4 linked regions of the Arabidopsis thaliana genome follow. The protein of the gene in region 2 interacts with the protein of the main gene of each other region in a pairwise test. Each region holds a gene or a part of one and is shown on either strand. Other genes may lie near its edges.

Region 1 (9,231 bases), on a different chromosome or scaffold from region 2:
GTAAGTACTGTACCAAACAGTTTCACATCTCCATTCTTGTGGAGTCTCTCAGTATCAGACAAACTAAACGAATGGCTCCTGCTATGACCAGATCTGCCCTCTTTATGGGATACTGCCAGAGGCTTAGGAGCTGAACTAGTACACTTGGTGAGTGAGAAGCCTTCACCTGTACGTTGGGTTTTTACGATCAAATCAGATTTTGATCTACTTATCCTGCTCAGATCTTGGGTGACTGATCTCTGGGGATTTTGACAAGATTCTGTATTGGTCGCTTTTAGTAGACCAATCTGCTCAGGGTTTACATGGCCTAAAACCTGAAGCCTCCCATCCAATTCCAGATTGTTCTTGGGCCAACCCAAGTCATGTGTTTCGTCAACTTGTCCAACAAGAGAATTTCCTGACTCGGACTCTGCATGGCAATTTGGATTTCCTCGTGGTGCACTGACGCCTATAGGGTTTTCCGTACACACCTCAATCGGAACATGGTGAAGACACTCAGGGTACCTGAAACCTGAAGGTGCACTTTCAGGTTCAAGGCCAGAATTTCTGGTTCTGTTTGCAGCTTGCATCACTCCATCTTGATTCTTTGAACTAAATTTAGGCATTGTAGCACCTTGATCTCCTGAGCCCTTTCGTGAGATTTCTGTAGGGGTTTCCACAATAACATTGGAAAGAACACTTAGGCCACAATACAATGGCTCGGAAGATATAGTGACAGATGTTAAGACACCTTCATCGATTTCCATTGACATGAGATCATTGCTCTTGCTTTTTCCGGCAGCCTGAGACTGGCTCTCAACAGTATTAATATCTACCAAATCTCTACAAGATTCTGAAACTAGACTCGGGAAACCGCCATTGACATATGCATTGTTCACGAGATTATTATCATCTTTCAGACACAAATATTTCTGCCCATTCTCTTCTTCTGATCTACTAAGGTCGGCTTTCACATTTGCAGAGCCTGATTGATTAACACCATCCTGATTCATATTAAAAGGTGAGGTAGGAGAATTCATACCCATCTTGGCACAAACTCCATTATTCACTATGCCAGAGTTACTCTCCATAGGACAAGGATCTTCCAAGTCGCTCCCACCACCCTCATTGCCATTATCAACACTTACGGATGTGCTTACATTTCCAGATCCAAACTTTATAGATTCCAACCCAAGACATTTCCGAACTTTGCTGAAGAAAACCTTACACTGATCTGGAGATCTTGTCCCGACGTACCTTGATATTGAAGCAAAATTCTTGCCAAAAAGCGAAAAACCCTGTATAAAGGCAGATCTCTCATCATCTGTCCAGTGAATAGGACCTGTTTCCCCACAGCTCTCTTCCGAACATGAGTCATCTTCTTCGTTGCTGTTCTCATTGTGTAGAGTATTGCTGTTCTCATTATGTAGAGTATGAGATATCCGAGGTTTCTTTACGACATGATTAAACTTCAGATGATCCATACACCTCTCTCTAGAGCTCACAGAAGTCCTTAAGCAAGAATTTATCTGCTCTGGTGACAAAGGACCAACAGCTAAAACATCTGCACCAGCAGTTCTCTTACGTGGGAAATCAAAACTGTAGGAGCACCCTTCAGAGTTATTTCCATCGTGCTGCAATGAATTAGCACTGCTGCAACCTCTAAGGGTGATCTTTTTGGAAGAGATCGGCCTGGTTGATGCAACCTTTCCAGCGTTTGCTGCTATAATGGAGACATCCCCTAAAATATCAAGAGAGGCAGCCCCCATCTCACGTTTCCACTTTTTTCGTGGAGCCAACATGTAGGTGTGCTTCCCTTCCTTACCATAAGCACGCTGCTTCTTTATTTTCCCAAAACAATCAGACTTGTGGTTTTTGTAGTAGTAATCAATACAGTCCGCAGTTGTCTTTTGGGTAAGAGATGAAGCAATCTTCTTGAAATCCTTCCCATGCATTGCTAGCAAATTCAGAAAGATTTCTTTCTCCTCTGAGGTCCAAGGATTAATCATTGTTCTTTCCTTCTCAACGTCACATGGATCTTCAATCAGTCCATTGCTAGAAATAAACCTCGACATCACCCTCTCTTTCTCATCCAAAATCATAGCAGGCATTTTCAAAATGTCTCTAAAAGGCTTTAGATGGGTACCCGGAAGTAGCTTTTCCATATAACTTACGAGCTCTGTTGTGGGGACTACACTATCCCTTCTTGGAGCTGCACAGGTAGTGTAAAACAGTTATTAACTTTAAATTCGATGAAAAAAGGCTTCAATTCATCTGTGATCATTATCCCAAATTTTTACACCGCAATCATCTCCTGCGTATTGATATACTTTCTAGTTAGCATCTAAGACAAATATTTACCTACGACAACATAAAAGATAGACAAGAAATAAGCATCTGCTTAAACTATACCTCCTCGTTAAACAAGCTAGATGTTAAAATGAATATTACAGTGGATATAATACTAGAATAAAACCAACATCTAACATAAAATTAAAATAGCGTTATCAACATCCAACAAACACGTTAGCATGGAATGACTCTGAACTTAGCTTGCAAATAATGAATTATGACCACTATGTACAGCTCTGTAACAATAGTTCTCAAGAGTTGTATATGTTTCTCTCAACACCTCACGCCCTTGAAAAATCACATAATTCAAGTCTCTACAACTAACACATCATAAAAGCCAAACTTCATCCCAGACAGCGACAAACCACGACAAGCTTAATATATCAGAGTAAATAGAAGAGAAAAGAGGTTTGAGAACTTTACCTGAAGAAGAGAACCTCAGGCGTACAGATTGGGGAAGCTTCAGATACCCTCCATTTTTTGCATTCGGATATAGTTCTGTTTTTTTGCTAGACTTTGATTGGTACTTTGCTAAAGCTAGCTGATCCAAATCTTTCTTCCATGAGAGCTGAAACGCTTTAAACTGAAGGAGTAAAATTTTCTCCCTAGCTCTCAATAGGCCTACCCTATCTGCAATTTTTTCTTGGACATGAGAATCAAACTGCGTTTGACATATGCCAGGGAATCTTGAGTTGTCAGACGAATTAAAATCTCTTGGAAGCAATTGATTGAATACTCCAGATGATTCACAAGCATATTTCTTATTGGCAGATAATAACTTAGCCCAGAACAAGTCTTCTTTGGAGGCCATGCTGTCATCAGCAGAAGAAACCTCAATAGTTTCCTGATTGGCAAAAGCAGGTGTGTTAATCTCTTTCGAAGAAACAGCTGCCTTCATAGATGGTATGGGCAGTATATCTTCCTCTCTTTCAACAGTGGCAAAAGATTGGGATAGAGGTTTAACTTCCCCAGGACTATCTTCAAAAACATCAGCAGGAACCTTGGCTAAACCAGCCTGATGCACAGGAGCTCTCACCAGTGTTTTAGCTACAGAAGAAGCTGTTGCCTTAGGATCCAAACTACAAGAAGCCTGCTCCTTGGGCACATTTGCATCTCCATCACAACAGTATGAACTGGGTCCAACAACACGAGAGTGTCTTCTACCTTCAAGCTTTAGTGTCCTATGTTTGTTTTCAAGGAGATCAATTTCTGATTCAGTCATCTCCACAGCTTTCAAAATTTCACCTTTCCAGGCAAGTAATGTGTTCATTGATGTCAATTGGACAGAACTGGAATCCCCTGTACCAGAATCATCAGTACCAAGTAACTCATTGAGTAAACAGCCAAAACGCTCCATTGAGATGTTATCGAGCTCCTCGATATTGATTGGGAATCGTTCAAGGTGAATACTAGACACGGGACTAGGCGAACGGCACATGTTACTGACATCACTAGCAGCTATAGCAGCCTTCGGAGATGATTTATCAGCAAACCCTGAATGTACACAAAAGAATAAAATTACGAGTGAGTTACACTGTCCCCAGCAGAAGATAACAAAAACAAATGGAAGACATGATAAAAAGAGAAAAACAAAATCAGTGTTTACAAGAACAGATACATGATGGAAGAATTCAAGTAATATGAAAATAATGCAGATAACTCCAAATAGATCAGGAATGAGAAGAGCACGCAGAGAGAAGTATTAACAAATTGTATTGTACCTGGTGATGAACTGCAAGCTACAGAGGATGGTGTTGTAGGGGAACCATAATCTGGAACAATGGCTGCTGTGGGACTTTTATCAGCAATATTTTTGTTTAACGAATGTAGTTCCTCTAAACCGTTTTCCATCAATGTTGTTCCATCTTCATTTGGGTTAACATCAACTTTCTTTTTCTCATATTTCGCCAGTCCCTCACCCCACCCGAGACGTTGTTTCTTTCTAGAACTCATCTCCTCAGAAAGATGAGTAGTTGTGGCACAGGCAGTAGCGTCTCCTGAAGAAGATTGAGTCACAGTAACAATTTTAGGAAGAACCTCAATCTTCCGATCGCTGGAATCAACAGCCCCCAAGCTTTTCAAGCTACTTGAATGACTAAAACCTGAACTCTGAGATGCAAAACTCCCAGAACTATTCCACAGTGGAAGTTTCCCAGTTGCTCCCAGAGAACTCTCCTTTGCACATTTCCTATCACCGTCTATATCATTGATACCATGTAAACTATTGTTATCTTGCGGGTCTTTCAGGCGAAGTTGTTCCCAAGTCCCCTCCAGCTCTGCATTGGGGATTGGAGCATCTAATGAATTATCACTAACTAACCTTCGACCATACATCAAATCATTGCATTGCTTTGCTGGTGAACAAACCTTATTGCCATAATTGTTCTCAGAAGAAGGCCGTTCAAACAAGCTAATACATTCAGAATGAGGATCTGAAGGAAGTGATAACCTTTGATCTGAAAATTTATGCTCATTTTTAATTTTAAGAGACCGTACTGGGGTACTGATCTCATTGTCCAGATAATGAGCCGAGTTGGCTGGATCCAAAGAGTTCACCACGGTAGAATGAGTATCTGAAGCATGTAGCGGCCTTTCATCAACTGACCTCCGACCATTTCTAATACCAAATGGCCTCTCAAAACTTCTAGAAGATCCGTTGCTCATCTCCCATGTATTGCATTTCCATTCCTTTTGGCTTACAGAAACTCTATCATCCCTGCAATTCCTGGTATATCTCCAGTCTCCACGCGATGCTGATGGCCTATAATTATCAAACATTCGGGCACTGGACCGAGAAGATGTGTATCCATGACTAGTCTCCTCCACAAACTGGTGCCGTCCACCCTGCTTACCATGACCTTCAGAAAATTTTGAAGACAAAAGGAAGATGAGAATCACAAACTAAAGCAAGACCTGTATTCAACCAAATATATAACTTGTGAAACTAAAAACGACATCTATCCAAAAAAATTAGACTTTTACTGCTGTCAAAACATGTAGTATAAGATTCTCCAAAAGGAAGTCAAACTTAGAATCATTATAACACGAAGTCAAGTTAGGAGAAAAAAGTGTCATTACGCCCACACAGGGTTTCAATACTAATAGGAAAAATTATACAAGTAAGAAACCTGCAAAAGTAGGAGCTATCTTCATCTAAATCTACAACATGTAAAACTAAAACTAACAACACTCCACGATGCTAGGACTTTTTATCCGTTTTAAGATTCATGAACACAAAACACAAACACAATTGAGGTAATAAAGTCCTCTTGCAATGAAACTAAATCTACCTGAGTATTAAAAATTGCTCCTTTGAAGAGTAACCTCATCAATTCACTTCCTATCAATCTTAAGAGCTGTGTTAATGCTCCAAAAATACCCTAAGCTATCATGACACAGTGAGAACTCAATCTAAGAAACAAGGATTTGCCTCTAAATCAATTCAAAAAAAATTATAGAACCAAAAAGGAAAAGTGGATATCTAACAAATCCACAGAAAAATAGACTCTACCAAAAACAGAGCAGGAGAATTCAAAGCCCTAAATTAGAGAGAGAAAAGGAGGTCTTACAAGAAGGTCTGCGGAAGTCTCCAGATCCCAAACGAGAAGAAAACTCTCGAGGAACATGGTGAGAAGAAGGCGAATCCCTCCATCGAAAAGGCGGGGATTCAAAAGATTGTTCAGGCCTATCGTGTTTCCTTTGCCTCAAGAGCTCTTTCCGATCCCACGAAGCGTGATCCTGCGGCATCAAGTTATCCAGAAGAATCGCATAAGAGTATCCTTCAAACCCAACTCCAGATTCCCTCCGTACCTACCTCCGTCAAAAAGGTCTCGGAACAAAAAAAGAAGAAGAAGAGCTGGTGGGGAAACCAAATCAATGAAGACTCGTCGTTTCTGAAACCAAAATCAAACTAGGGTTTCGTCAATCTGAAGATTAAAATCCGAAGTAAACCCAAAAAGAGCGGAAACAGAATCAAAAGAGGAAGAAACCTGAGAGCGGAGCTGTATGTAAAAATCACTACTGAGAGACAAGGAAGGGAGATTTCACCGCTGAAGAAAAAAGCTCAATAGAGAAAAAGAGATTTCCTTTAATTTCGGTGTTGAAAGACAAAGTAGGTTTTTTTATGGCGATTCCTCTCTGTTTATTAGCTCACAAAATCCAAAGAAGAAGAAGAAGAAGAAGAAGAAGAAGAGATAGAGAGAGAGAGAACAATGAAGAAGAAGAAGGAAAGAGAAAATAATCCCTGTAACCTAAAGATTCCAATTAAACTCTATTTCATTTTATTTTTCGCGTCCGCTCTATTTATATTATTTTACTCCTATTCTGAAAAAGACATTTTTTTTTTTTACTTTTTTTTTTCTGTAAATCTCAATCCAAATCCATGACTTTGTCTACTACACAAAAAAGTATAAAATCGAAATTAGTAAATACTTACAACCAATGAGAAGAGAGTAAAATACATTAGTGAAAGATTAAAAAAAAAACTATCTTCATTGACTTGTGTAAGCAAAGAGAGAGACGTCTTCTTCTTCACACCGATCTTCGAAGTTCGTAGATCTTTTGGTTCGTCTACACGATGGCGAATCAAGACAAGTTAGATCATCATCGGTATAGTTCTGTCTTTTTTTTTCCAGATGAATAAGATCGTTTTGCGAATCGAAATTTAGATTTGGGTTTTGGTACATTTTTATAGGTGTATTGATTCAGAGGCACAAGATCCTACTTCAGTGACTATTGAGTTTCTTCGTGCACGTTTATTAGCTGAAAGAGCTGTTTCCAAGAGTGCTAGAGCAAAGCTTGATGGTCTCGCTGATAAAGTATGTTCTTTTATAATTTGTAGGGATGATCCAGTGAAATGTTCTTTAGTCTTATGTCCTGTCTTAATATCTTTAGGTAGCTGAGTTAGAGGAACAGCTCAAGATTGTATCTTTACAGAGGAAGAAGGCTGAACAGGCAACTGCTGATGTTCTTGCGATCTTAGAGGAAAATGGGTATAATGATGTGTCTGATGATTATGATTCAAACTCTGATCATGAATGCTACTCTCAGAGTAACTCAGGTTAGAGTTTTTATGTGATAGGAGGAAAGTTTCTGATTCATGGGTTTAATGAGATTTGAGCAACTCTCAGTGTCGGAGATTTGTTTGTTTTTTAGTGTTAGGCAAAAGTTTGTCCTGGAAAGGTCGCAGGAGGGAACCAGGTTCTTCTGACAAGATCAAGGAAAACCGGAATAGGAGACATCACAGAGGTTTCGAGTGTGCTTATTTTTCCTCACCGAGACATCGTCAAGGAAGATCTTGTCGGCAAATTAGACGTGGTGAAGCAAGGTCTGTTTTGTTATCTTTAGCTGCTCAGTGATTTATGAGTGGTTTACTATTACAAATTGTGCAAGCATTGCCTAGAAACACAGTGCTTAGAAATTTGAGATTGAAGGTTATATGCTTAGAAATCGTCTCTCTAATTATATACATCATAAATCGCTTTATTAGTAAAGCAATTGTAAAGCTTGCTTATGTATGTTGTGTAATAGAATAACCAACATTTTTCAACTTTCCAGAAATGTATCTGAGGATTACAAGAGAGATGGAAATCCGGTTGAATTTCAAGAAAATGGAGTTCGCACTGAAATGCTTCCTCAAAAGAATGATCAAGTATCTAGAACCGTGGTGGATGTTGCTGTTGTGAAGGGAGACGATAGTTTGAACAAGTTGTCAAATTCAAATGGTTTAGAGAAGGGAAACAGTACGGACATCAACTTGGAGAGAGCGTTAGAAAACCGTGCTCAAGTTATCGGATCTTTTGAAGAAATGGAAGAGACTCAAAGGGAATGGGAGAAAAATTTCAGAGAGAATAAATCATCTGCCCTGGTATGCCCTATATCTCAGGCTTTGACCTTTAGAAATTGTTTTCATCAATTGTGATTATGGTATATTTCGTGTTTATATGAATCAACCAACAAAGTTTCTTTTATGTGGCGTTGATAATTGTGCATATGCTGCAGTTTTCTATATTTGGTTTGCATGCGTATACATTGATTCTTTTATTCTGTCTTCTCTCCATTGTGCTAAAAAGTTATGAAAAATGTATGCTTTTTTTCTTCTTTGTATTAACTGTTATATAACCATATTGTTTCTGAAGACATTATCTATGAAGATATCTTAGTTCACAAAGGTTGAACTTAGTCTCCGCTTAATTCACTGGAATTCCTGAACAATACTTCTTGTCCAATCTTTCAGGATTTATGTGACGTTGGAAACCATTCAGATGTGACGGATGAAAGTAACGGAGAAAAAGCTCAATCTCCACTTCAAGGTTCTACAGTAGTCCCTTCACTCCGTGATACAAGGTCTATAGCTAATGAAGTTGACTTTAGAGAATCGTTTGAAACTTTGTCGCATGGTTCACCTGATAATTCAGTAACGTCACCTGATAAGTGCTGCAATAGTTGTGGTTCCAGATCTGTGGAACAAGATGCTTATTCTTCTCGAGACAAAGGAAAACATATTTCTGAGAGCCCTACAAGTGAGTATTCCCAACCACAGAGCAGTAAAGGTATCAATGAGCATTCTTCATCAACTATTCGGTCGCCTCCTGTAACGCAACCAAACTCGAGAGGTGGTTTCTTTGGCAGTACTACCACTACCATTCATGAAGTAGATGATCCATTAGTTTCAGTGAAAGATGTGAAGCCTGATACTTGTGAAACTGTACTGACCGCACTAAAGCAAGCGAAGCTGTCTCTGCAAGAGAAAGTCAATAGCCTACATATCAGAAACCCGGATTGTCATTCTGAAAGCTCATATCCTTCAACACCAGGTTCATATATGAACACATATGCACTACCGATGGAACCAGCATTTAGTACTAAACCATCTCTCCCTGCTTCCAGTGTCGGGTCCAT
Region 2 (8,419 bases):
AAGAATCTACCAAAAAGTAAATAACGCTTTAGAAATTTTACGAAAAACTAAATAACTATTTAGAATTTTATGAGTTTGTTTTAAAGACAGCGGTTACTGTGATAATTGCATACTATATTTTTGTCGATTATAAGAAAAGATTCGCCCACCCGTTACAACGATATAAACATGATTTTTCGACGGTTACAAGTTAATGGCTTAAACACGAGAACATTACATGACCTGCCAAAACCAAAATATGAAAAATTTGTCCCAGAGTTTCATTTATCAGTTTCCTTTTAGAGGATTAGGAAAGTCTATAACAACACAGCCAAGTGGGGCTTTAAGTACAAAGATGTGTGAAAATGAGGAATGCATCAAGTCCCTAGGGAAACTATGTATGGACCGTATGAAAACGTATATTTAAAAAGAAAATCAAGTGAAAGGAAAAGCTTGTACATGACCAATGCATGTCCAAAGGAGATTTGTGGTGAAATATCTTCAATGAGCTTCTAAGAGAAGACAGGTGACATTTATGTATATAAGAAATGGAGTCTCATCATGTTTACTGTTATACAATGAGAATGAGAGATGGTTTAAAAACCTCTTATTTTCATAATTTTCATATATTTGACATTTTAGGGCTTCAACCATGTAAAGAGAATAAAGGGTAATGTACTTTGAGACCTTTTCGATACATGCACTGTGACTTTATCTTTTTAAGATATCCATGTGCTCATGTCAAGTGCCTTACATGCAGTTGAGCAACGATTGGGTTAAGAAATCTTGTTCATTGTGTGTTTTATACGAACGGCTGATAAGTAAACGTAAATGTGAAGGTTTCCCTATATATACGAATTATGATTGGATAGATATATAGATCCTTTAAGTAACATATGTTCTACACTATCTAGACTACTAACTATTTTACACCCAAAAAAGAAGAAGGTCTACACTATTGTGTGGGCCATAGAGCTTGAAGAACATATGTTACTTAAAGGATCATGGTTCGAACTACAACATTTTTAAGTATGATTTGTTATTGTAATTGTTTTACATGAAAATAATATCATACTTTTTCATAAATTCTGAAGATTGGTATGAATTCGACCAAGAATCTCACGGTTGTAAAAAGAGAGAACTTAAACAAAAATTGTATACTATAGTAGTATAGTCACATATTATTAACTATTACAATAGAATGTTTTGCTAATTTTTGTCTGATGTCAACAGAAAATAGATAAGCATGAATATCTAAAAATCACAAAACGTGTTAGATGTAAATATATAATATTGGGTCTAATGCAAATTGGAAGTTGCAATAATATGTTTAGTTTTTTTCTTCAAAAAAAATTTTCTTGACTTTCCTCATCATATATATATATATATATATGAATGCAATTGTGGATCACGAAAGCAACACGACACATCTAAGGCCTAATTTTCAGGCCATTTAACTCAACCCAAAAGCTTCCAGCCCATAAAACTTCAGTACTCTCCTACAATAGGAGCCATTTAACTTGATTGAACTATAAATTGTAAGTTTTCTTTATGTGAAACCTGAAACTGAAATAAACAGAGAAAACAGATGAAAACTTCATTTTCTAAAAGATATATACCAGACACTGTGATTGTTGGTTGCATACTTGAAGGTATAAGGAACAGCTTCCTTACTAACTTTATATGGAACATCAATATTCATTTCTCTACTTTAATATTCAGAACTCAAGTCACAGTCAAACTATCACATTTGCTATCGTTTGTTTTTAGTTCTGATACAAACGAATTCCTAAAAGAAAACAAAGAGACAAATAAAGAACTAGCTCACTTGGGATGAGACCGGTCACTGCTCAAATGGGACTCGCACAAACAGTCGACCATGCAGGCTCACAACCGCTGACGTGTGCAGCGGATCGATTCTTGCGGGAAAGTTCACAACCTACCATAACCAAAATCGGAAAACAATTGACAACTATCCTTCAATTAGCAACTAGGGCTCTGTTTGGAGTGTTAGAATCTAACCTTTTTGAAGGGTGTGATTCCCCAAGGATTGTCAAGTTGCTCAGGTTGGCCTGCTATAACTAGCCGCCCTGCAGGGTCTGACTGAACACGGACCTGAAAGAAGAAATCAACTTATATTGAGGAACTAGATTCTGTGTGCAATCACACAAAAAATTACTATGAAATTCATTACAACGGACAACAGTGTGTGTATTTAGATTCGAATCCAGTATATGTTCACATCTATGTCGTAGGAATCAGTAACACTCCAGTGACAAAACACTGATCAAAGAAGCTTTAGAGATTGAATTCCAAGGAGAAAAGCTCACCTCTTCGCGAAGAAGTCCAGGTACCAGGGCAAATATCTCAAAGCAGTCTTTCTGTAAATAAAGACAACAAAAATAAATTTGGTAAGATTTCAGATTCAAAACAAAAACCCAGATTGCAGTTATTTCCCTTTCTTCAGGCAGTGTTGTTTTTGACTTTTTTTCTTTCTCATGTCTCTAGTTTCAAGAGTTGGGTAAGCGTTGCATTATATGAGGGGGGAAGCGGAAGTGGTACTCACAGTTTCTCTGACATTGATCTTCACCCAGTCTGCAGGGGGTCCAACATCTATAACCTCGGCAGTTGACCTATCAAGCCAAAACCATATTATCAATCTTTTGCTCTGATTATAATAAACGAAATGAAAAGACAAGTTACAAAATTCTCTGTATTCATTTAATCTCCTGCGCTATTTCTGAAATGGCAGTTCTTACAACTACCACCCAGAAAACAGTGCTTGTGATCTACCAAACATTGACAATGCAGGGTTTTTCGATGGATAAGATTGTATGGAATTGCACATGGTAAAGCAATCTTGCATAAGCAACACAAAAATACAGGAGATGATTATCTTTCGTAACTGTTTTTCTGATTCGTGTGAAAAAACAAGGTCCATGCCGGTTGTTGTTTTTTGTTTCTGCACACCTGAAAAGAACATTTATACACGGTGGCATTAGGTAATCATTCTGTAGGTAGTGGAGAACAATAGCCATCGCTTAGGAATATTACCAATGTTTTTGAGGTTCTTTTGCTTTGGGGTTGAATTCAAGCCTTTCTCCTGAAAATATATGTACAAACAGAATCATGTTGAAGCGTAAGTTTGTGCATGGTGAATTATGAAACGTGGTAAGGTCTAAATAGAAACCTTAACAATAGGCTCAGTAACCTCCCCAGATCCAAGAAGGCGCTGAGAATGCCAACCTTGCATAGCACGAGCTGCAGCATCTCTTCTTGTTCTGCCTGACCCTGAAGCTTGATGGCTACTTGCCTACATAAGTGCCCTTATATCAATGAGAGAAAAAGGGAAGGCATATAAAGTTTAAAATTCTGTTTTAGGGAGCTTAAATTGGTAATTAGCTGTGTTGTGTACATATTATTTCTTATGTTTCCCATATAACACAAAACGGTACAGCTTTATTCAATCAGATTGCAGAGAGTAGTATTCAACATGTTAAGCTGATATTACTCATGCCCGAAATTTCCATCTGTATAAAATGATTTTATAAAGAACTGCAGAGCTTTCACTTTATCTAATTTAACAACATGGTTTACCTACTCTTAAATTGACCTCCTCTCAAAGTGTTCACCTACCCAAAAGCATAAGAATTACACAATTTCATAGGAATTCTAACCTCCTTTTCAATGCCTGAAGACGGAAGAGAAGCTGAACCAGGAAGGTTAAGCTCACCATTTTGCCTTAAATGCTTCTCATACTCCAAAAGTGCCTGCGGTTGGAAATAAGGATACAAATAATGAAATTTCCACATCTTGATAGGATAGAAATCAACCAGACTCCATGTTAGGAAGGAGTCAATCCAAATAAACTGTTAGAAGGCTACTAAACCACGACATAAATGATAACGAAACCAGCTAGTCTCAGACACACTACTGACAAAAGGAGCAAAAGAACATTGTCTGAATCGAACATGTATGAACTAAACTGAACAAGTACAACCTCATTAATATCAATGCATATTCAGTACTTAGACCAAAAATGAAATTCACCTTTTCATAGAAAATGCGGAATGTCCAGGAGACTGTAGTGCATGTTCTGAATAACAAAAATGTGGAAAGTCAATTTCATACAAGAAAGCGGAAAAGGTTGAAGATTGAGGACAATACAAGCCATACTTTGGAGGATGGAACGATTCTCCAACTTGCCGCCATAGCTTAGATGTGGTGACCTATATAAGAAAATGAAAATCATAGGAATTTTGAATACCACAGACATAGAGTTTCAAGCAACGTGGGCGGTGGGATAGATTTGAGTATAAACTTTCAAACAGAGTAGATGACACTAAGCAAGTTCAGTTGCCAAAACACAGACCTAACATAATTAACACATAACTGCATTGACTTAATTATTTCCGGAAGCCATTCCTTGTTCTTAAATCATCTTCTCATTCATTAGCTATAGTTCACACGTTATACAACCCAAAACGTATAAATCGCATGACCTGTAGATAATAATCTAAAAGATTTTTAACCTCCTAAAGGGGAAGAGGGAGGAGAAGATCTTAGTAAACATAAAATCATTGGAAGTTCGAAAGTAGATCATTACCACATCGTAGCCACCTAACTTGATAACGGCTCTCCAAAGCCTACATTTCAAAGTAAAGCATGCAGACGTTATCACGTCAAACAAGGCATAACCAAAAGTATGGAATTTTCCAAGAATTAAAGCAACACTTCCAACAACTCACTTGAGACAATTTAAGGGCTGTCCGTAAAACTTTGGGGCTTTAAATTCCAGGAAATTCTCCTTGTTGAAGGCCTCCACTTCTTTAATAAACGCCTCTTGATCCTGTGGTGCCCCTGCTTCATCAACTTCCCTGGCCTGTATAAAAACGTGAACTCGTGATGAAATAGAGCCACTGTGATGACCACAGATCTCACAAAAAACAATATTCAACGCTTAACGCAAATGCAGGCAGACTAGTTGTCTGAAATGTGACAGAAAAGTGCTCTCATCACCTCAGCATCACTCAACAACCATGTCTTCCACTTCTTAACACTTTCTTCAGGAACATGAGGACTCGACGGATCCCCCTTCAAAGGATTTGATTCCCCAAGTGTTGTCTCCTCTTGACCGCCATCACTAGTAATCTTCTTTTCAGACTGATCAACATCACCATTCCTCCCATCAACACTGTTCTGACCACCAACCTCTTCATTAGCCTCAATTTGATTAGCAATGGGAGCATCAGATAAATGAACATCACTATCCAAAGTATGAGTCGTATCCTCTGGAACAGGGGACTTAGGTCTTTCAATAGAGTTTAGGTCTTTCTCTAGTTCTGAAGGCTCCTCTACAACACCTTTGGTACCAGACGGCACATCTTGCTCTTGCATTTCAGTATCCGCCATCATGAAGCTAATTCTCTGAGACATAGCATCACAACAACAACGCAGAATTCAAAATCCAGAAATCATAAATAGAAACGCACTATTGATAATTCCAGAGAGAATGCAAGACGCATGTAATCGAGAATTGGAACGCATCAAAACTCTGAGTCCTACTCTCTCACTGATTCGCTATAATTCAAACAGTGATGGCGACTAAAGCATTAGAAAGCAGAGCTTCACGAAATCATGGAGTACATACATAGAAACAAAAGATACGGTTACCGGTTTCGCCGGAAGAAGAAGACGCCGGAGACGGTGGAGTCGTCGCGGGTTAGGGTTCGATAGCAGCCGGCGAAATGGAAGGACGCCGGCGGAGAAAAAGAAGCGAGAAACGGAAAGATATCAATTAAACGGAGAGATATGCAGATCAAAAGATTTATACGGATGATATAATGAACACATGAATTCATTAAGAAAGAAATTAATGCTTGTTACTTGTATTAACTCTTAACGAAGATCTTAATAGCAAAACTTATTAATGATATTTCAGAAAGTTGGACTTTTACGACCCATTTACATAACAAAGCCCATTATTGTAAACTATGGGCTCAATATGTAAGGTATATTATGAATATAATCTTAGGCCCAATTAAACACGGAAGACAACGTAGGTTTCTGCTTGTCTCGATTGTTGTTGTGTTTTTATTTGTTACTAAAGATAGAGAAAGAAATATCGAAGCATTGTGCGTTCATGTTCAATATAGAGTTTTTGTTGTACCAAAAAAATATAGTGTTTGAATCTTTAATTATAGACTAGCTAGCATATAATTAACGTGATTAACTTTACAATTATGGTGATGATGATTTTCTCAGTATGTAGGTATAGTACTTGTCAAAGTGACAAATAATTGCAATTTAATGAATTGGTGTGGATCCAAAGGATAACAAATAGTATGAGCATATTCATTCGAAGCAAAATGGTACAGAATTAAGCAAAGCTTTTTGTCCAAAATTCTAATGAATTAAGGACCATTATTTTTAGGGAATAATAGTCTTTGATGCCCCACATTTCCAATAGTACAAATCAAGATTTTCAATATATGTCAAGTTTGTTATTTTCATTCACGGACATTAAAACGAGTGGAGCATTTCAATTTGACATATCTTTGTCCTTTTCTTTTTGTTACAGATATCTTTTGTTCACGTTCTTTGAATCATCATATTCATAGCTATGAGATCATAGAAATATCAAATACTGTTAATTAACCTCTTTAAAAATACATATTCACAAGTCTCTTGTGTGAGTAGAAATCCTATACAAACAAGTTTATTCATGCTCTAATAAGATAGATAAATAAGAAGATAGCTCATGACATGGCCTTCATTAGGCTTGTTGCATATACAATAAGCTTACATATAAGGAATTAAGGATGGTCTAATATCTCTTGCTTCACATGAGAAGAGTTATAGGATTCGAGTCACATAAGAGATTTTTATTGTAGTGTGTATAATATATCCCACTTCTACAATTATCCAGTCTATTGTGTATTTTTCATTAATAAATCACTAAAATTTGCACTTTGACAATATATACTTAAATATTTGTATCTCGTATATATATATATACATATTTTTAGCACTGTATGATAATTCTAATTATTCGCTAATTGTTTTTTTTTGGTAAGAATTAGTCGACTATTTTGATATTGGGGTTGTTACATTTATATCTTGCATTGAATTTTATGGACGGACACTGGTCGCAGCCTCACACACTAATTTGAATTTTCCGTTATCATTAATATTCGATCGTTTCGTTGGTACGCTTCCATCACACAATTAATTTAAGCCACCACACTATTATCTTATTCTCATTCAGTTTTGTTTCCATTTCAAATTTCTTACGACGCATATGAAAATGTACATTTTTATAACAATTCCCCTTAAAAATAGATGACAAAAAGAAAAATGTTTTTTTTAAAAAAATATATAAAATAAAATAAATAATAAATCTTCAACAATCGATGAACACTTTGCAATATCTCCACACCTTGGGCAAGAACCAGAAAAAAACATGGGGCACGTTTCGTAGTCGATGTGACGAAAGGCATGACGACGGTTACCATATAAATTCGTCTTCTCAGATAAAGCCTTATTATTCTCAATAGTGTTATACGACAATATACGAAACAAACAAAGACCCCGCTTGAGTTGAGTTTTCCAAAAATTGTGGAACTGTTTCCTCTTTCTTTTTGTACATAAACTAGGTTACAAAAAATTGGAAAATATACAAAATCAAAGGACATAAACTTACGAGATATATCATAACTCATAAGTTGTGAAAGTTGGAATTCAAAAAGGAGCTAACTATGAATCTATGATACGTTATTTTGTTGCTTATACGGAACAAAACAATTCCAAAAACAAAGAAGATGTAAAAGTCTGACCCGGATCATGCGGACACCAAGTTGTACATACAAAATATGTAGGATGAAAATATGAAATTCTCTTCCCATATGCATAGAATAATAATTTACCTTAGTTAAAAAGATTAGTTTCTAAGTTTGCCCCAAATAAAGAGATTAGTTTCTTGAAAAAAGCATTTTGTGGATAGACAAGAATTTAAATAGAATGAAGAGGCGACCATGCAAGTGTTGTACTAGGCCAAATTTTGGAGACGCTCTTTCTCTTTCATAGAGAGAGAGTGAGAAAGTTCTGATACGGCGGCTTCTCACTGTCATCTAGCTGTACCACTGACGATAAATCTCTCTCTTCCTCTAAATCGGTTAAAAAATTCATTCCCTTCTTGGATTGCTCTGTTTTCTTCGGCGGTTCTTGCAGCTCCATTGATTCTCTGTTTCCTCTGCTACAGTTAACTTATACTTGCAGATTCTCGCGTTGATAGTAAAAAGATGGTGAAGCTTTTGGAGCTGTTCATAACTTCATCAAAACCAGTCGTTGAGATTCTGTTGATAACATCAGTCGGATTTTATATGGCTCTCGATGGAGTCAATCTTCTTGGTCATGATGCTCGTAAATATCTGAACAACGT
Region 3 (5,537 bases), about 27 Mb from region 2:
ACTACTCAAAACTTCGTTCACTCTTCATTCTCTCTATCGTTTTCATTCTTCGATCTCTGGAACACAAAATCGATCTTGTTCAAATGACGTCATCCAACGGCGATAATAAAGGTCTCGTCGTTAGCTTCGGCGAGATGCTCATTGACTTCGTGCCCACGGAATCCGGCGTCTCCCTCTCTGAATCCTCTGGATTTCTCAAAGCTCCTGGTGGTGCTCCAGCAAACGTCGCTATCGCTGTTTCCCGTCTCGGAGGTCGCGCCGCCTTCGTCGGAAAACTCGGGGACGATGAGTTTGGCCATATGCTTGCCGGAATCTTGAGAAAGAACGATGTCGACGATCAGGGGATCAATTTCGATAAAGGAGCAAGAACCGCACTCGCTTTTGTGACTCTGCGTTCTGACGGAGAACGAGAGTTTATGTTTTACCGGAATCCCAGCGCCGATATGCTTCTCCGGCCAGATGAACTCAACCTCGAACTAATCAGATCCGTACGTAAAATCTTTATGATCTCTGTTTTCAAGATTTCAAGATTTTACTTGTTTTGGAGATTTGATGAATATTTTTCTTTATTTGGCAGGCGAAAGTGTTTCACTATGGATCAATAAGTTTGATTACAGAGCCATGTAGATCAGCTCACATGAAGGCGATGGAGGTGGCGAAAGAAGCTGGAGCTCTTCTTTCCTACGATCCAAACCTCAGGGAACCTCTGTGGCCATCCCCTGAAGAAGCTAGGAAACAGATCATGAGTATCTGGGACAAGGCTGACATTATTAAGGTCAGTGACGTCGAGCTTGAGTTCTTGACAGGAAACAAAACGATTGATGATGAGACAGCTATGTCTCTGTGGCATCCTAATTTGAAGCTCTTGCTTGTTACACTTGGCGAAAATGGATGTCGTTACTACACTAAGGTAATGTACAACAAACATTCATGTGGATTCATCATCATCATGATGATCTTGGTGTGTGATTTTGATTGATGTTCTCTTGACTCTTGTGTAGGATTTCCATGGATCTGTTGAAACTTTCCATGTTGACGCTGTGGATACTACTGGAGCTGGTGATTCTTTTGTTGGCGCGCTTCTAAACCAGATTGTTGATGATCAATCTGTACTCGAGGTTAACTCCCATTGATATTGTGTGTCTATTCAATCAACTGAATATTGTTGATGATATTTACTGATTTTTCTCGTTTCTTAGGAGGAAGAGAGATTGAGAAAAGTGCTGAGATTTGCAAACGCTTGTGGAGCAATCACGACGACTAAAAAGGGAGCCATTCCAGCTCTTCCTACAGATTGTGAAGCTCTCAGTTTTCTTAAGATACAAGTAGAATAGTAAAACTTCTCTTCGAGTCCAGAATTCTCCTTGTCTATTGTAATAATCTGTTCTGGATTCTTCCTGATGATTCTGATCATTTGTAATGTTTTTTTTTTTTGGTTCTCTCTCTGTCTTTTCTTTTTCTTCTTCATTGTATTGAATAAAACAGACTTGTGACTTCTGAGCTTTTCTTGCTAATAGAAAACAAAGAGTTTTTCGTAGTTGTTTGGAACCGTAAATTGCATTGAGGATTGTTTCTCAAGGCTTTGAAAACAGAGTAATAATCAGGAACAAACAAAAAAAAACCAAGAAAGAACAGAGAGAACACATTTAGTATCAAGTTTGTAGCATCAAAGCATTAAGCATAGACCATGTTCAAGAGGTATGAACAAAACTCAAACACAGACATTTGTTATAAGCTCTCAACATATCTTACACAACTTAAGACAAAACTAAAATGTATATGACATTAACTCCACACATGCAGATAGGTTTCTTGTTTGTTCTTTTACATTGAAGAATGTCTACACATAGATTACATATAGCTTTTTAGCCAAGATCAGGGACAATGAAGTGTTCCTCATCATCATCATCATATCTGGTCTCAAACCTCGGCTTCTTGTGTGAAACATTTGACTTCATAGGTTTGTATGAATGAACATGACCTAAATGCGAAACAGAAAGCTCAGGAACTTCAGCTGCAGGAAGAGCCTTGTCATTAATCTGATCACCGAAGAATCCCATGTCTGAAAACCAATCCAACTCCCCTGCCCCAAGATCAAGCTGTCCTTTCTGCTCAATTTAAACCAAGAAGTCAATAAAAGCTTCTTGCAAAGAAAGTGATCTAACATTGAATCTCAATTCTCATCACTACCTTGTCGGTGGATTCAATATCAGAGAAGTGAAAGAAATCGTCAACAGCCCAGGGAAGTGGAGTAGCAGAAGAAGGTTGTTGTTGCTGCTGGCTTGTGGATTTAGCAGGAATCTGATTAGCCTTCTGTTGGTTGTTGGAAGGCTCAGGTTGATTCTTCTCAATTTCTTTACTACATATAGTTGAGGTCAGAGCTACTTTGATCCCAGTGGCTAAGAACCTCTGGTGATTAGCAGATCGAGAATTAGCCACGTGGATGGATTCATCGCAGTCCCTGCAAAGCAGAGCTCTATCCTCTACACAGAAAATGAAAGCTGCCTTCTCCTACAAGTCATAAGAACATAATGAGCAAACCCTAGTCTTAAACAACAAGGCATACATACAACAGTTGCTACAAGATCTATAAAATCACAACTTTGCAACAGAGCAGATTCAAACTAACGAATCCATAAAATATTTGACAAGATCTAATGAGATCTGTAGAGAAACTTACTTGGCAGATATCGCAACGAGGGAATTTGGTGGAGAGGGAATTAAGATGAAGACGTTGGTGCTTGCTAGCGAGTTTGTTAGCGGCGTGAATCTCGATGTCGCATTGAGGACAGAGAGCAGCTTCGTCGGCGCAACAAATCACCGTCGCCGGAGCTTTCTCACACACATCACACTGTATCTTCATCACCGGATACAAGAAACCAAAATATCTAGGTTTCTCAAGAAGGAAACAGAATGCTTAAAATGAAGGGTTTATTGCTAGTCTGGCTTCTCTTAGAATAGCTTAGCAGAAGCGTAGGTTCAGAGAAAGAGCTTAGAGAAGATGAAAGAACAAAGAGGGAGAGAGTGTTTTGTGGGGAACAAGTAGGTGGGATGAGCAATTGGTTGTGAGTGAAAGAGAGAAGATAAGGATTTGATGAATCTTGCTTGTTGCTTTGTTTTCATTATTCTGCGTATCAAAAGGAAACACTCTGCTTCTTACAGCAAGGTCTTGCGGGTCCCACTCTTTTTCTGTGGCTCTCCTTCTTCCTCTCGTCATCTCTCCTACCTTTAGATATTTTTATTATATTCACACTTTGCTATTTTATATTCTTGTTATTTTCTCACGTAGTAGAGATTTGTGTTTTGTTTACTAATCTAGTCAAAACACATTAATTTTGACTAATAAACTAACTTCAATAATTCCACCACCACTAGACTTTTACGCTCCTTTTATATGATATGCTCGAATTTCAAGTCTCGTGAACTTTTACGATTTCAAGAAAGATTTGTATACAAAAATGGGCTTCATCTAGAAAGAAAGAGTTGGGTAATGGTATTACTCAAATCAGAGAATATTACACGACTACACGTAATCTTGAAAATGACATGTGAATTGATTCCTTGGAATGACGACATGTTATGTTAATATGTACCATTCGATCAGATTTTTCTTCTTCTTTCACTTTTTCGTTTTCTCAATCATAAAAACGATTAATGCAATCATTAAAAATATACTGGCATGTTAACTAACAAAGAAATGAATGCTTAGCCCGTTCGAGAAAAAGAATGATCCTAAAAGACACCAATACAAAATTAGGCATGGTTGGTCACAAGAATTGTTGTTGGATATCACATATCCATCCATATTAGTAAAAACCAATCTATACATCTGTGGTTTTTTTAAAGAATTGACAAGTTTTTGTTTCTGTTTTTTGGTAATGAAATCGAACAAATTCAAAGAATTGTGAAGTTAATAACTCCCAAAACACTTACTGCTTCTGTACATGTTCATCCTTCTGGATGTCCCCATGAGAAGTATTGTTCATGTTGGCCGTATCTTGATTAAGCAGATTAGAGAATCCATTTCCAATCGATTTCCACCAGCTCGACCGCTCTGAGGTAGTTTGATCCCACTGGTCATTACTGGTGCTTGAGGACAGTTCGATAGATGTGGCTGACTCGGTCTGCAGCTCAGAGAATCTCACAGCTCCTAGTAGCTTTTCTGGAAGCTCTGCTTCGGTCTGACTCTCAATGAGGAACGCAAGATCAACTGTCAATGTAGTAACGTAGCCAAATGCGAGATGAACAATGGCACTAGCGACCATTGAAGAACCAATATCGACATCAATCTCCACAAAGTTTTCCCCTGAAACATATTTGCAAGAGAGTGCACGTCCAATCACACAGATCGCTTGCTCTCCAACAGCTTTTCTAACAATCCAAGGGCCTTTGACAATGTTTGCAATCAGTTTAAGCCTCGATTTCTTGAACCCATCATCTCCTTTCAAAAACCGATCCATCAGGGAGCCTTCAAGGATAGGCTCTGTGGTAACAAAGTAAGCCACAGCACTGTAATTGTCTTTGTGAGGAAGCTGGAGATTGAATGCCCAGACAAAAGGCTTAGTTCCATCTTTTTGAAACTCCTCATCGATAACTTTCCTGATTCGGCTGCTTGGATAACTCAGGATCTCAGAAAGCTTTTTAGGACCTTTAATCCAATCAAAACCCAGAGGCTTTAGAAGGAAATCACCAGCAGGTATCTTAACTTTGTCAGAGAAATACTTTGGTCCTCTAACCATAAATGTGTCAGGAGATGGCGTCGTCCAACCATTTTTGCAGTTGTCGTCTGGCTTAAGACATGGAACAGCTCCCTCTAATTTCACTCTCTTAATCCATTCTGGCTCAGTTTCCTCACCAACAGAGCCAGCCATATCTTGCGAAAACCTGCAACACAGAGCTTAAATCCTTGAGTAAAACTGAGTGTGGAAAACAATCTCATGGATTCTACTTAGTGAATATAGCAAACAAGAATATGCCATCAAGAAGACCAAAACATGTGATCAGAAAACAGAACCATGTATGTCTGAGGCTCTATCTATTCCTCATCTAATTTCCCATAGGATTCATACTATGCCACAAGAACTTTTTAAAAGAAAAGAGTGAAACAAAAATTGCTCAAAGAAACAAAAACTAGGAGCTGGTAACTCCGGTTCAAGTCATAGCTACACCGGAAACTAGAATAAAGTTAGTAAATTGACTCAAATTCTGAGTAATGACATCAAAATTCAGCATACACGATTCTGAGATTTTCTACAAACCTAAGCCCTAGATTATCTGAAATAACATGCATACCATTCAATAGACAAAGCACAGAGACAGAGCCCAGATAATTGAATTTTACATTCATCTACAACACATAAGAAGAAACGGAAAAAAAAACGTTTTTTTTTATCAACAGAGCAATCAAAACCCAGAAACGATTAACAAGTTTCAGAGGTTCAAGAGGAATCAGCTACAATAATAAAAAGGAAAAAATCAAAGTTGAGAGATACAAATAACAAAAGACTAATTCAATCGCAGGACAAGGAGCAAACAAT
Region 4 (8,970 bases), on a different chromosome or scaffold from region 2:
CTTCCTCGTTTGAATCTGGATTCAGTTTTTGACGATTGAAAGCGGAATAATATGAAGAAAAACTCAAATCCCAGGTTTCAGCAACCACACAGTCACGATCAGAGATCGATATAAGCATCTGAATCTCATACAAATCAAATTGATTCCAGAAGGTACCGAAGATGATTGATCGAACTCTATCTCCTAGATCCATCCAATACAGTAAGATTAAACGCCGTACAAACATTTCAAAATCAAATTCGAGCTCAACCCAAACTCACACACACAAATAATATCTGAGAATAGATCTATTTCGTTCATAGGGGAGAAGAAAATACCATGAAAAGCGAGACTGGTAAGTCTGAGCAGAGCACCGTGGAGATACACAGCCACGAATTCCTCTGAGGATCTTCCCGTTCTTCTGGTCGCTGCTCTGAACGATTCTTCTCTTAGCTCTACCATCTTCTTCTCTCTGAATATCGTTCTTCTGTTCGTTGCTCTGCACCAATTTTCTCTTCCGTCCACCATTTCCTTCTCCCACCGGAGCTATCATCTTCCCTCTACTATCTCCTTCGGCATCACTAGATCTCGTCTTCATTCTCTCTCTCTCTATCTCTCTTCTCACTCAGTATCTCACTAGTCGCTAATTTGTTAAGCGGAAAATTGTTTCAGAATTTGGTTTTTGCTCTGAACCGTGTAGCTGTGATATATAGCCGCGAGGGAGACACAGCGAATTTGAAAATTTCGAATGTCAAATGACGTATATACCCCTGTAACAAACTTTCTACCTCTGTAGATTTTAAAATTTTTAAAATACTTTTCAATTTTAGTTAGAACCCGGTTTAGCACCAACAGACGTAGCATTAACCGAGAGGGTCCCAGTGAGTGTGGTTTCCATGATTATGAAAAATCAAGATAGTATGGATTTTTTTTAATAGAAAATTCAGAAACTGTATTATGGAAAATGTTAAAAGCTATATTAACACTTCAACATTTTGGAACTTTAGGTTGTTGGCTGTGAAGTTATTTTCTTAGAGTCGGTGAATTCTAGACATTTACAAAATTGCTACGCCGGAAAAGTATCTAGCTGAATGTACATTTAATGAATCAATCGGAAAGAAGCCAGCATCATGTCAAGGGATTTCCCGTAAGCTAGCCGCCGAGGAAACAAATCGGTTAGCTTCCCACCGCCATTACTGTTCAATTAGAAAGCAAGTTTGAACGTTTGCAAGAATGGTTTAGACTTAAGAGAGCTCTAGTTCATGAATTTGCGGCAGTTTGGAGCTTTACAAAGGCAGGGCACTTTGATCTCTTCAGATTCATCAACCTCAAAGAGATAATCATACCTGTAGAGAAATAGGTTTTCATGATCAAGGTTAATAATGCATATGGATTTAATCTATATCTTATGAAAAGAGAAGCTGAAGAAATGTTTTACGTAAGCTCTTCCCCAGCTGCGACATTGGTTTTTGCAATGAGGACGATTCTGTTGTCTTCTCCATCACCCATACTCACTATACGAGCATAGCAATTGGGCATACACTGCACAAGACATAAACATCCTTAGTATTAATTACCAGGTTTTGATCTCGTGTGCCAATTTAGGGAACTTACTGAATGATTGATCAATCGTGCGATGTTCCCAGAGTCTGTGGCATCAATTACTATCTCTTCGCTTATCTTGAATAGCTGCGTTGTTGTTGTTAGACAATAAGTTACTTATTAGATGCAGCGGTTAATGTTTTAATCTAAGCAAGCAAGCAATCGGAACTTACGTAACAATCTTTGCCCTGCGAACGATAGTTTGCCTCTCTCAGATCTGCAACACTTCTCCTAACTTTCACCCCACGATACTCGATGATCTGCACAAGAATTTTAATAATCAGTAGTTAGTTTGCCTCAAGAATTTCAATTTAGCCATATCAAAACCACGAATAATACAACGTAAACTAAATACCATTTCTCCTTCTTGAATACTTTTCCTTGCAAACAAACCCCATCCATGTATGCCAGATTTACCAAAGCAGACTCGAAAATTTTCTGTCCTCTGAAGAAGATAATATATTGTTTATAAATATTCTAGGATAACAAGATGGAGAAAATATTAACTCTTCATGAATCAATGTTTACCTGCAAATGTTTTAGCCGTTCTCTGAATGATGTAAAATCTGCTTCCTGGTGTGTAACAAGGTAAATGGAAATTAAGATCTTCCTAAGATATTCAGAAAACGTTGCCCCAAGAAAGCAAAACACTGACATGAATGGAGCTCGGAATGAGAAACTTGCCTTAAAAGAGTTTAGATTCTCGATTGCACTCAAAGAATGATGGCTTGGTCCCTTAAGCCTGTGGGATATAGCCTCCAGATCAATCTTCTGAAACGTCAGCAGTAAAAGATATGAAGTAGTAGCTTTGCTAGGGAATAGTTAATAACGAAAGACTCTCCAACGTCCAAGAATAAACAAGATCCCCAGATGCATACCTTTGTGTTTGATCTACTATAGATACGGCATCTTGCTGCAGAAAGAGAATCAAATACACGACTCTGTTCAGCTTGGGTTTGGGTTTGGAAACCTGGAAGCTTCATCTTCTTGGTCAAAACGAGTCTTGAACCTTTGGCGCGCCCATATTGATTCTGAAGCAAATTTCTAGAGCCAAATACTCCTGAGGGTGTGTGCACAACTACAACACTATCTGGATCTGGCTTTCTACATAGTAATGATACAGGCGATCAGTTGGTCCCAGTATCACATAACAGGTCAGTTAAAGAATATGTCGGAGAAACAAACCTGTGAAATGAACAGTAAACTGACTTCCTGGTTCTCTGCACACCATTTTTTTCCAGGCAGTGCAACTAAATTCCATAGACAAAAACATCACTTACACATCCCTAAGATGATTAACTAACAGGACAGAACACCTTTGCAAGGGGTTTAACGTGAAAAATGAAGATTATCATAAGCACAGAGGCTAAGCAGTTTAAGGACTTGACTAACCTCCATGTTGTAACCTGCCCGTGATGCACACATTGCGTGGAAGTGAGTTGCACACTTGCAGCAATGAACGCAGGAACCATGTGTCTGCTTACAAATTGTGCAAACCTAAAAGGAATTTTCAGAAAATATGAATGATGTATAATATAATAAAACTTCTAATAGAACATGTTGGTTATACTTTCCACTTCTAGCATTCATTTATACCTTAAGAAATGAATTTGCTGGAATTTTGAAAAGTCCAACAGCAGGCTCCATATTTTCATGATTCAAAAACCCAACTTCCGGTCGGAACCAAGCACATGTTACATGAACCCACAAACCCTCAACGTCGCTTGGTTTTAAAGCACCACCTACATAATGGAAGAGTTCAGGAAAGAACTAGAAATATGGAAAGTGAGTTCAATTTAGAGCACATCTACCCAAAAGCGAATTCTCAGAATGACTGTATGGAACCTTGTGACAGGACAGTCAAGAATAAAACATCACTAATGCAAGATCAGGAAAAAAATCATAAAGAGAGCTAATTCTGCAGTAGTACCTTTTACAGGACAAAGACAACAATCTCTCTCAATGTCTGGTGTTTCACATGCTCTGCATACCCAGGAAGTGAGGTCCTGAGATTTGCTTACCCCATAACATTCTTGGTGCACAGCCACTTGACACCTGCTTACAGATTTGGTCAGATTTATGACTCATGTTTAGTTATAAGAACGCTGTAGAATTCAGTATAACCAAATTATGCCATTAAAGTAACCTGTTACAGATGATCATTTTATTTTCTTCCCAGTCTTCTACCCATCTGCATACAGCACACCTTTCAGTCGTCCACTTAGCCCTGACTGGCTCATACTTTTCTGTGCATATAAAATAAGTAGTAAGCAAGTATCTTAGCAATTTTAAACTCCAAAAGAAGGACGCCAAGAATTAAGATATACTCTACCTTCTAGCAAAGAGAGCATCTTTTGCTTATCCAACATCTGGGTTTCTAGAGTATAGGTACTGAATTCTGCAATCTGTAATATCTTGTTGTCAGTATTATACTTCTTATAGACATCATGCATGTAAATTTCAGGGGTATATAAGGGAAAGTTTATGAGAGAGTTAAGCATAAGGGATGTACCCATTTTTCTAGAGGTAGCATTGTGTCTTTCACTCTTACACTATACTTCCACTTTTTGGCTCTGCAGCCTGTATGCCGTTCCCATTCACTTGGTGACTGCTTCCTTGACCCACATGAACCACACTTGCACTCAATTCTGAAAACAATAGTTCCAAGATAAATGTGTTGTTTTAATCTCTGGAACAACAAGAGAATGGTAACAGAAGCCTAGGATCAAGCGCAGAATTGTCGTCTTCAGAGAAAAAATCATCTTACGGCATTGCATTGTACAGTCATGGACAAACAAAATCCTGCTCAAATGAGGAAATTGAAATAAAGATGATGCATCTAATACTTACGCATGAAATTTTCTGATATATGTCCCTTCCATGCCATTACAGACTACAGTAATCGCATCAGGCAGCCCAGTCTCTGTTGTCTTTTCTGTAGACCTGTCCCAAAGAGGTTGTGAAGAGGAATTTTGCAAATTAAAGAATTAGCAATAGAACAATGCAAATAATAAAAGCAGGAGAAGATATTTTTTTCGAGAAGACTAAAGTGAGAGAACATGAGATGTTAACAACATACTTAAACACTGAGTTCTGTTCTTCTAATATTGTTGGCGTAAGCTCGTGTTGGACTTTACAATCAGGGCAATAGTAATTGTTGTGCTCCAGTTCCTTAAGATGAAACCAAATTAGAACAGTCATTCGACAATAGTCTTCAATACTTAAAATCAAAAGATAAGATGCACGGCGATGTATAACGGCACCTTAAAGCGTTCATTCGTAATGTTGTCGCATTCAGCATGTACCCATACGTCACACCCATCACAACAAACCTAATACATCAAATCAAGTCAGCTATATAGATATTATAATTTCTTACTCAGGTCAGTATTTCACCAAACATGGTCACAGATATTCTCACCCAATCTCCATCATCTGAAGGGTGCCATATTCTCTTGCAGATGCCACAATACTGATTGGATTTCCGCAACTGAAACAAAAATTTGGATTCAATTCCCGTCGATCAAAGAAAACTGAAGAGGGAGGAAGTTTTGATAAGAACCTTTGAGCAGTGTTTGCATAAAAGCTCTTCCGGTTGTGAGTCTTTAGTCCTTTTTAGAGATTTTAATGGCATTACTGAGCCACAACCGTCGCATGTCCTTATGTCCTCATGATATGAACCCTACACAATAATTAAATCAGCAAATCGTTTAGGGGAAGGTATTTCCAGTAACTATAAAAGAGTCAGATACAAACAGTACATCTACGCCTATGTAGTATGTTTAAACTTCATGACTTAGAACAGAAAGTATATCACCAGACGTAGACACTACAAGATGCTTATAGAACTGTCCAGAATTGATTTACTTTTGTCTTCCCAAAACAATTAGAAGAGCAAACTTGAACATCTAACCAAAAAAAAGAAAAGGAATATGTGTCAAGAAAACGTGCCTGAAATCTAGAAGCAGGTCCATAGTCCTGGTCGGATTCCGTCGCAGAGGAATCTGGGGAGATGATTTCAGCATCTCCAAAATTACCATTTTCTGCTAAAACTGCTTCCTCTAGTGCCTTGTTAAATTCACTTGCCTTGTAATTGAACAAGTTTGTCTGATCCTGAAATCTGAAGAGATGAAAGACTAGTAAGGAACAAGAAACAAACACACAAGTATGAAAGATTTCCAGAAAGAGCGTCTCATGTACTTACTTGTCCATAAATTCCGTAAATGGATACACCATCCCTTGTCTTACCCATGCATAGTCCTGTTAATGACCACAAGTTTTCAGAAAAAAAGATAGTAAAAATAAACGCCAGCTTGAAGACAGATTAGGATTAAAGAGATTACCCTCTGAGTTCCATCCTTGGAGTACCCAAAAAACATGACACAAATTGCGCCAGGGACGCAATGTTTCAAGACCCCATCAGGCGCTTGTGATATCGGATCGATCACCACAGCCGGCCATGCTGGGAATCTTTTCCCACACTTGGCCCACACAAGATCGCCAACCGTAAATTCCTCTGGTTTGTACACGCCCTTACGCGAGGCGTCGGACTTTTTCGGCATACCAAAGTTAGCATCGTCGTAGGAAATTTGAACATCCCAGTAATCGCAATCTACTTCACTGCTGTCTCCGTTATCCTTACGTGGAAACACCTTCGAGTCTTTGCTGCGATGCAATTTCGAGCTTCCACTGAAACCTTTGACCTTCTTCCCCAGAGATACGTCGTCGTCATCATGACTAGACTCCGTCGACTCTCCCTTGCGACGGCTAGATTTCCATGTACCAACAATGGAGTCCTTGAACCTAGAAGGAACCGCTCGAACTCTGCCACGCGAAGACTTGGACTGGTCAGAGCAAACTTGTTGAGATTCTTCTTTGCTTGTCAAGGAGCTTGAGCTACTAGTAAGAAGTTCTGGTTCTTTGCTACATGGTTGATCCACGGTTGCTCTTTGTCTCTTCTTATACACTATAATCTCACCCTTTTTCCTCCCATACTCAATTTCTGAATCAATTTTGCACCGCTTCAGATTCTGATTCTCGAATGTCGTCAAGGTCCGTTTCAAAATCATATCCTACCTAAGCAATCCTCGCCTATTCAACATAAACGACTATCCAAATTCCGATTCCAAAACCCTAATTTCATCAAACAAAACAGATTTCGCACTTCGGACCTCCGGAAGGAAAAAGAAGAAACTCGTAACGTTTAAATTCCTCTCGCAAATTGGCTCAATAGTCAACGAACCCAATGCGAAACCGCTTCTCTAACCCTAAATTCGAAAACGAAAACCAAATTCTCGTTTCCCTCAACAGGATAGAATTAAGAAATCAAACGACGGAGAAATCGTTAAACTCTAAAACGACGGAGAAACAACAAATCCTCCTCGTAGATTCCCTGGAGAAAATTATCAGTCGGTTTCAGTACGGAGAAGATAAAACCTTAAAATCGACGGCAAGGGAAAACAAAAGAGGAGGAGAAGGATCTTTGTGTTCTGATGAAGGAGACACACACCGTCCGTCGTCGGTTTATATATTTCTCCTTATTATTATTTTATGGTTAATTCTGAAATTAATTCGCCTAAACAAATAATAAAAACGAAAATAAAAAAAACGAATATGCTGACGTGGCGGTTGAATGGAACAGTGTTTGGCTCCAGGGATTGGGGACGAGGGAAGACTGCGAATTTTCAGGCGTACGAGAGCGCCAAGTCGAAATCTTCCTTTTCATCAAATCTGACGTGGCGCATCAATAAATAACTCTCTCGTTTTTCTTCTTGTCACACAACTTATTTAGAAAAATCGAAGCTTGTTGGGCTACATATTGGGCCTACGATGTTTCTCGTGGAACATTTTGACAATTAATAAAAGAAACAACTTCGAGTTAGGCCCAATATGAACACTGTATGTTTCTCATGCAACAACATTTTGACATTACCAGACAATGGAGGAAGATGATCCTTTTTTCATTTCAAATAAGACTCAAAACTTATCATCCAATTATACGTTCATGATTTATATGAAAGATGAGAGATTGCATTTGCATACAAAAGGACCATATTTTTGTTAATCGCTCCATAATGTTAGCCTTAGGGTCTAGGGACGTCTATGCACATTTACAAACTCATAAGGAATTAAAGAATTACGTATATTTCACTTTCCAGGAACAACAACCTTCAAAACTCAACTTACATGACAACAAATTGAGATCCAAAAAGAAACAAACCTTAAAAAAACAAATATCACCATGTTGCTCTAAAGTCTAAACCAAGACCGATTTCCACTTGAAAATCATATTGCCGAACCAAAAAAAAAAAAAAAAAATTACAACACATATGGACTATAAAATCAGTGACCAATGATTATGGGGAAAACAAAAAAAGTACCTTTATGTACAAGAAAAAAAAAACAGAAGATCTTGAATCAAACACTAGTACTAGAACTTGGATGTGTCTCAAAAGAGGGAGGGCTGCGAGAAGATGGTGAGCCGATAGTGCCACGAATCCTGAATATTTCAAGAACAACAAAAGCAAGTAACGTGACTGACAGAACAAATCCATATCCAATTTTCCATCCATCTCCTCCATTATCCGCCATTCGAATTCCAAGAACAATGTTCACTGCTCCAAAAAAGAGAGAGATCCTCCCAATCCAATGATGATACCAATTCCAATATCTCCTCATCTTTGTCTCCTTCTGTGGCCGTGCAAAGAAAGCCAAAACCTGAAGAGTGCTAAGGACTAGAAGAAAGATCCCAATGCCTCGATGCGCAGGTATATCCGGCTGGATCCTATTGTAAAGCTGAATCCCAAGAATAACTGCGGCTAAACCGAAGATAAAGCCCGTGAACTGAAAACCGATATGAAGATAGTACCAAAGAGGGTCTTTATGTCTTAGATATCTTGCTAGGATTGCCCCTACAGGAAGTAAGAAACCCCATCCGAGTATCGCCATTACTCCATGTTTTGTCTTCTCCGTAGAAGTTGTCGTCTTTATGGAGGTTGCTCCACTAGCTGCATTGACCAAGAACATACAACTATTGAACTCTCCCCTGTTTTTAACATGTATAGATTAGACTAGTATATACATTATATTACCTTTGGAAAAATCGACGATGACTGTAGTTTTATCATCATGCTTAGTCAAACGGCCTAGCTTGGAAGGATAAGCAGTGCTAAACGCTAGAATGACAGCTCTCCGAGGAACTCTAACGGCGAATTTCACCTGGAAAGCTAAGTAAATCATTGCTCCGTGAAGAGCCACCACCGGCGGGACTTTTTGTAGTTGCAATTCTCCTTGATCCGGCACAACTTGGTCTCTCTCCGTTCCTTGGAGATAGTATTGTTTGATTTTGGCGTGACCCTTTTTCGAAATCCATCCGATCATCGCGCTTGA

The links.
Region 1: the proteins of AT1G76510 (region 2) and AT3G52250 interact in a two-hybrid assay, tested with the Arabidopsis thaliana proteins (one large-scale study listed by BioGRID).
Region 3: the proteins of AT1G76510 (region 2) and STO interact in a two-hybrid assay, tested with the Arabidopsis thaliana proteins (one large-scale study listed by BioGRID).
Region 4: the proteins of AT1G76510 (region 2) and SDG14 interact in a two-hybrid assay, tested with the Arabidopsis thaliana proteins (one large-scale study listed by BioGRID).

The regions. Positions count from the first base shown.
Region 1 is NC_003074.8:19,373,476-19,382,706, reverse strand, and holds the start of AT3G52250 (Duplicated homeodomain-like superfamily protein), read right to left. Parts: upstream 6,570-9,231; 5' UTR 6,321-6,569; exon of another isoform or gene 6,225-6,320; 5' UTR 6,079-6,224; coding exon 5,901-6,078; intron 5,190-5,900; coding exon 4,053-5,189; intron 3,826-4,052; coding exon 2,755-3,825; intron 2,192-2,754; coding exon 1-2,191. Other genes in the region: AT3G52240 (transcriptional regulator ATRX), read left to right, coding at 6,908-6,939, 7,025-7,148, 7,225-7,390, 7,486-7,657, 7,888-8,197, 8,567-9,231.
Region 2 is NC_003070.9:28,707,105-28,715,523, forward strand, and holds AT1G76510 (ARID/BRIGHT DNA-binding domain-containing protein), read right to left. Parts: upstream 5,845-8,419; 5' UTR 5,630-5,844; intron 5,407-5,629; 5' UTR 5,395-5,406; coding exon 4,999-5,394; intron 4,862-4,998; coding exon 4,728-4,861; intron 4,626-4,727; coding exon 4,586-4,625; intron 4,209-4,585; coding exon 4,156-4,208; intron 4,076-4,155; coding exon 3,961-4,075; intron 3,750-3,960; coding exon 3,657-3,749; intron 3,293-3,656; coding exon 3,170-3,292; intron 3,083-3,169; coding exon 3,034-3,082; intron 2,950-3,033; coding exon 2,886-2,949; intron 2,613-2,885; coding exon 2,546-2,612; intron 2,361-2,545; coding exon 2,310-2,360; intron 2,095-2,309; coding exon 2,002-2,094; intron 1,919-2,001; coding exon 1,827-1,918; coding exon of another isoform or gene 1,823-1,826; exon of another isoform or gene 1,689-1,822; coding exon 1,577-1,688; 3' UTR 1,235-1,576; downstream 1-1,234. Other genes in the region: AT1G76520 (Auxin efflux carrier family protein), read left to right, coding at 8,280-8,417.
Region 3 is NC_003070.9:1,826,797-1,832,333, forward strand, and holds STO (B-box zinc finger family protein), read right to left. Parts: upstream 3,188-5,537; 5' UTR 3,070-3,187; coding exon of another isoform or gene 2,970-3,069; 5' UTR 2,893-2,969; coding exon of another isoform or gene 2,864-2,892; coding exon 2,681-2,863; intron 2,512-2,680; coding exon 2,191-2,511; coding exon of another isoform or gene 2,161-2,190; exon of another isoform or gene 2,109-2,160; coding exon 1,866-2,108; 3' UTR 1,544-1,865; downstream 1-1,543. Other genes in the region: AT1G06030 (pfkB-like carbohydrate kinase family protein), read left to right, coding at 84-488, 578-910, 1,002-1,118, 1,200-1,334; AT1G06045 (uncharacterized protein), read left to right, coding at 2,726-2,892, 2,970-3,069; AT1G06050 (ENHANCED DISEASE RESISTANCE-like protein (DUF1336)), read right to left, coding at 3,930-4,871. UniProt on the Arabidopsis thaliana protein: Acts as a negative regulator of seedling photomorphogenesis and light-regulated inhibition of hypocotyl elongation. BBX24/STO and BBX25/STH function as transcriptional corepressors of HY5 activity, leading to the down-regulation of BBX22 expression.
Region 4 is NC_003074.8:22,849,899-22,858,868, forward strand, and holds SDG14 (SET domain protein 14), read right to left. Parts: upstream 7,075-8,970; 5' UTR 6,651-7,074; coding exon 5,925-6,650; intron 5,842-5,924; coding exon 5,786-5,841; intron 5,702-5,785; coding exon 5,533-5,701; intron 5,264-5,532; coding exon 5,144-5,263; intron 5,072-5,143; coding exon 5,003-5,071; intron 4,914-5,002; coding exon 4,845-4,913; intron 4,753-4,844; coding exon 4,661-4,752; intron 4,525-4,660; coding exon 4,432-4,524; intron 4,230-4,431; coding exon 4,094-4,229; intron 3,987-4,093; coding exon 3,914-3,986; intron 3,828-3,913; coding exon 3,728-3,827; intron 3,637-3,727; coding exon 3,512-3,636; intron 3,324-3,511; coding exon 3,178-3,323; intron 3,079-3,177; coding exon 2,974-3,078; intron 2,832-2,973; coding exon 2,767-2,831; intron 2,686-2,766; coding exon 2,460-2,685; intron 2,353-2,459; coding exon of another isoform or gene 2,350-2,352; coding exon 2,110-2,349; intron 2,027-2,109; coding exon 1,937-2,026; intron 1,842-1,936; coding exon 1,755-1,841; and 8 more. Other genes in the region: RMF (reduced male fertility), read right to left, coding at 318-577; AT3G61750 (Cytochrome b561/ferric reductase transmembrane with DOMON related domain-containing protein), read right to left, coding at 7,999-8,588, 8,673-8,970. UniProt on the Arabidopsis thaliana protein: Histone methyltransferase.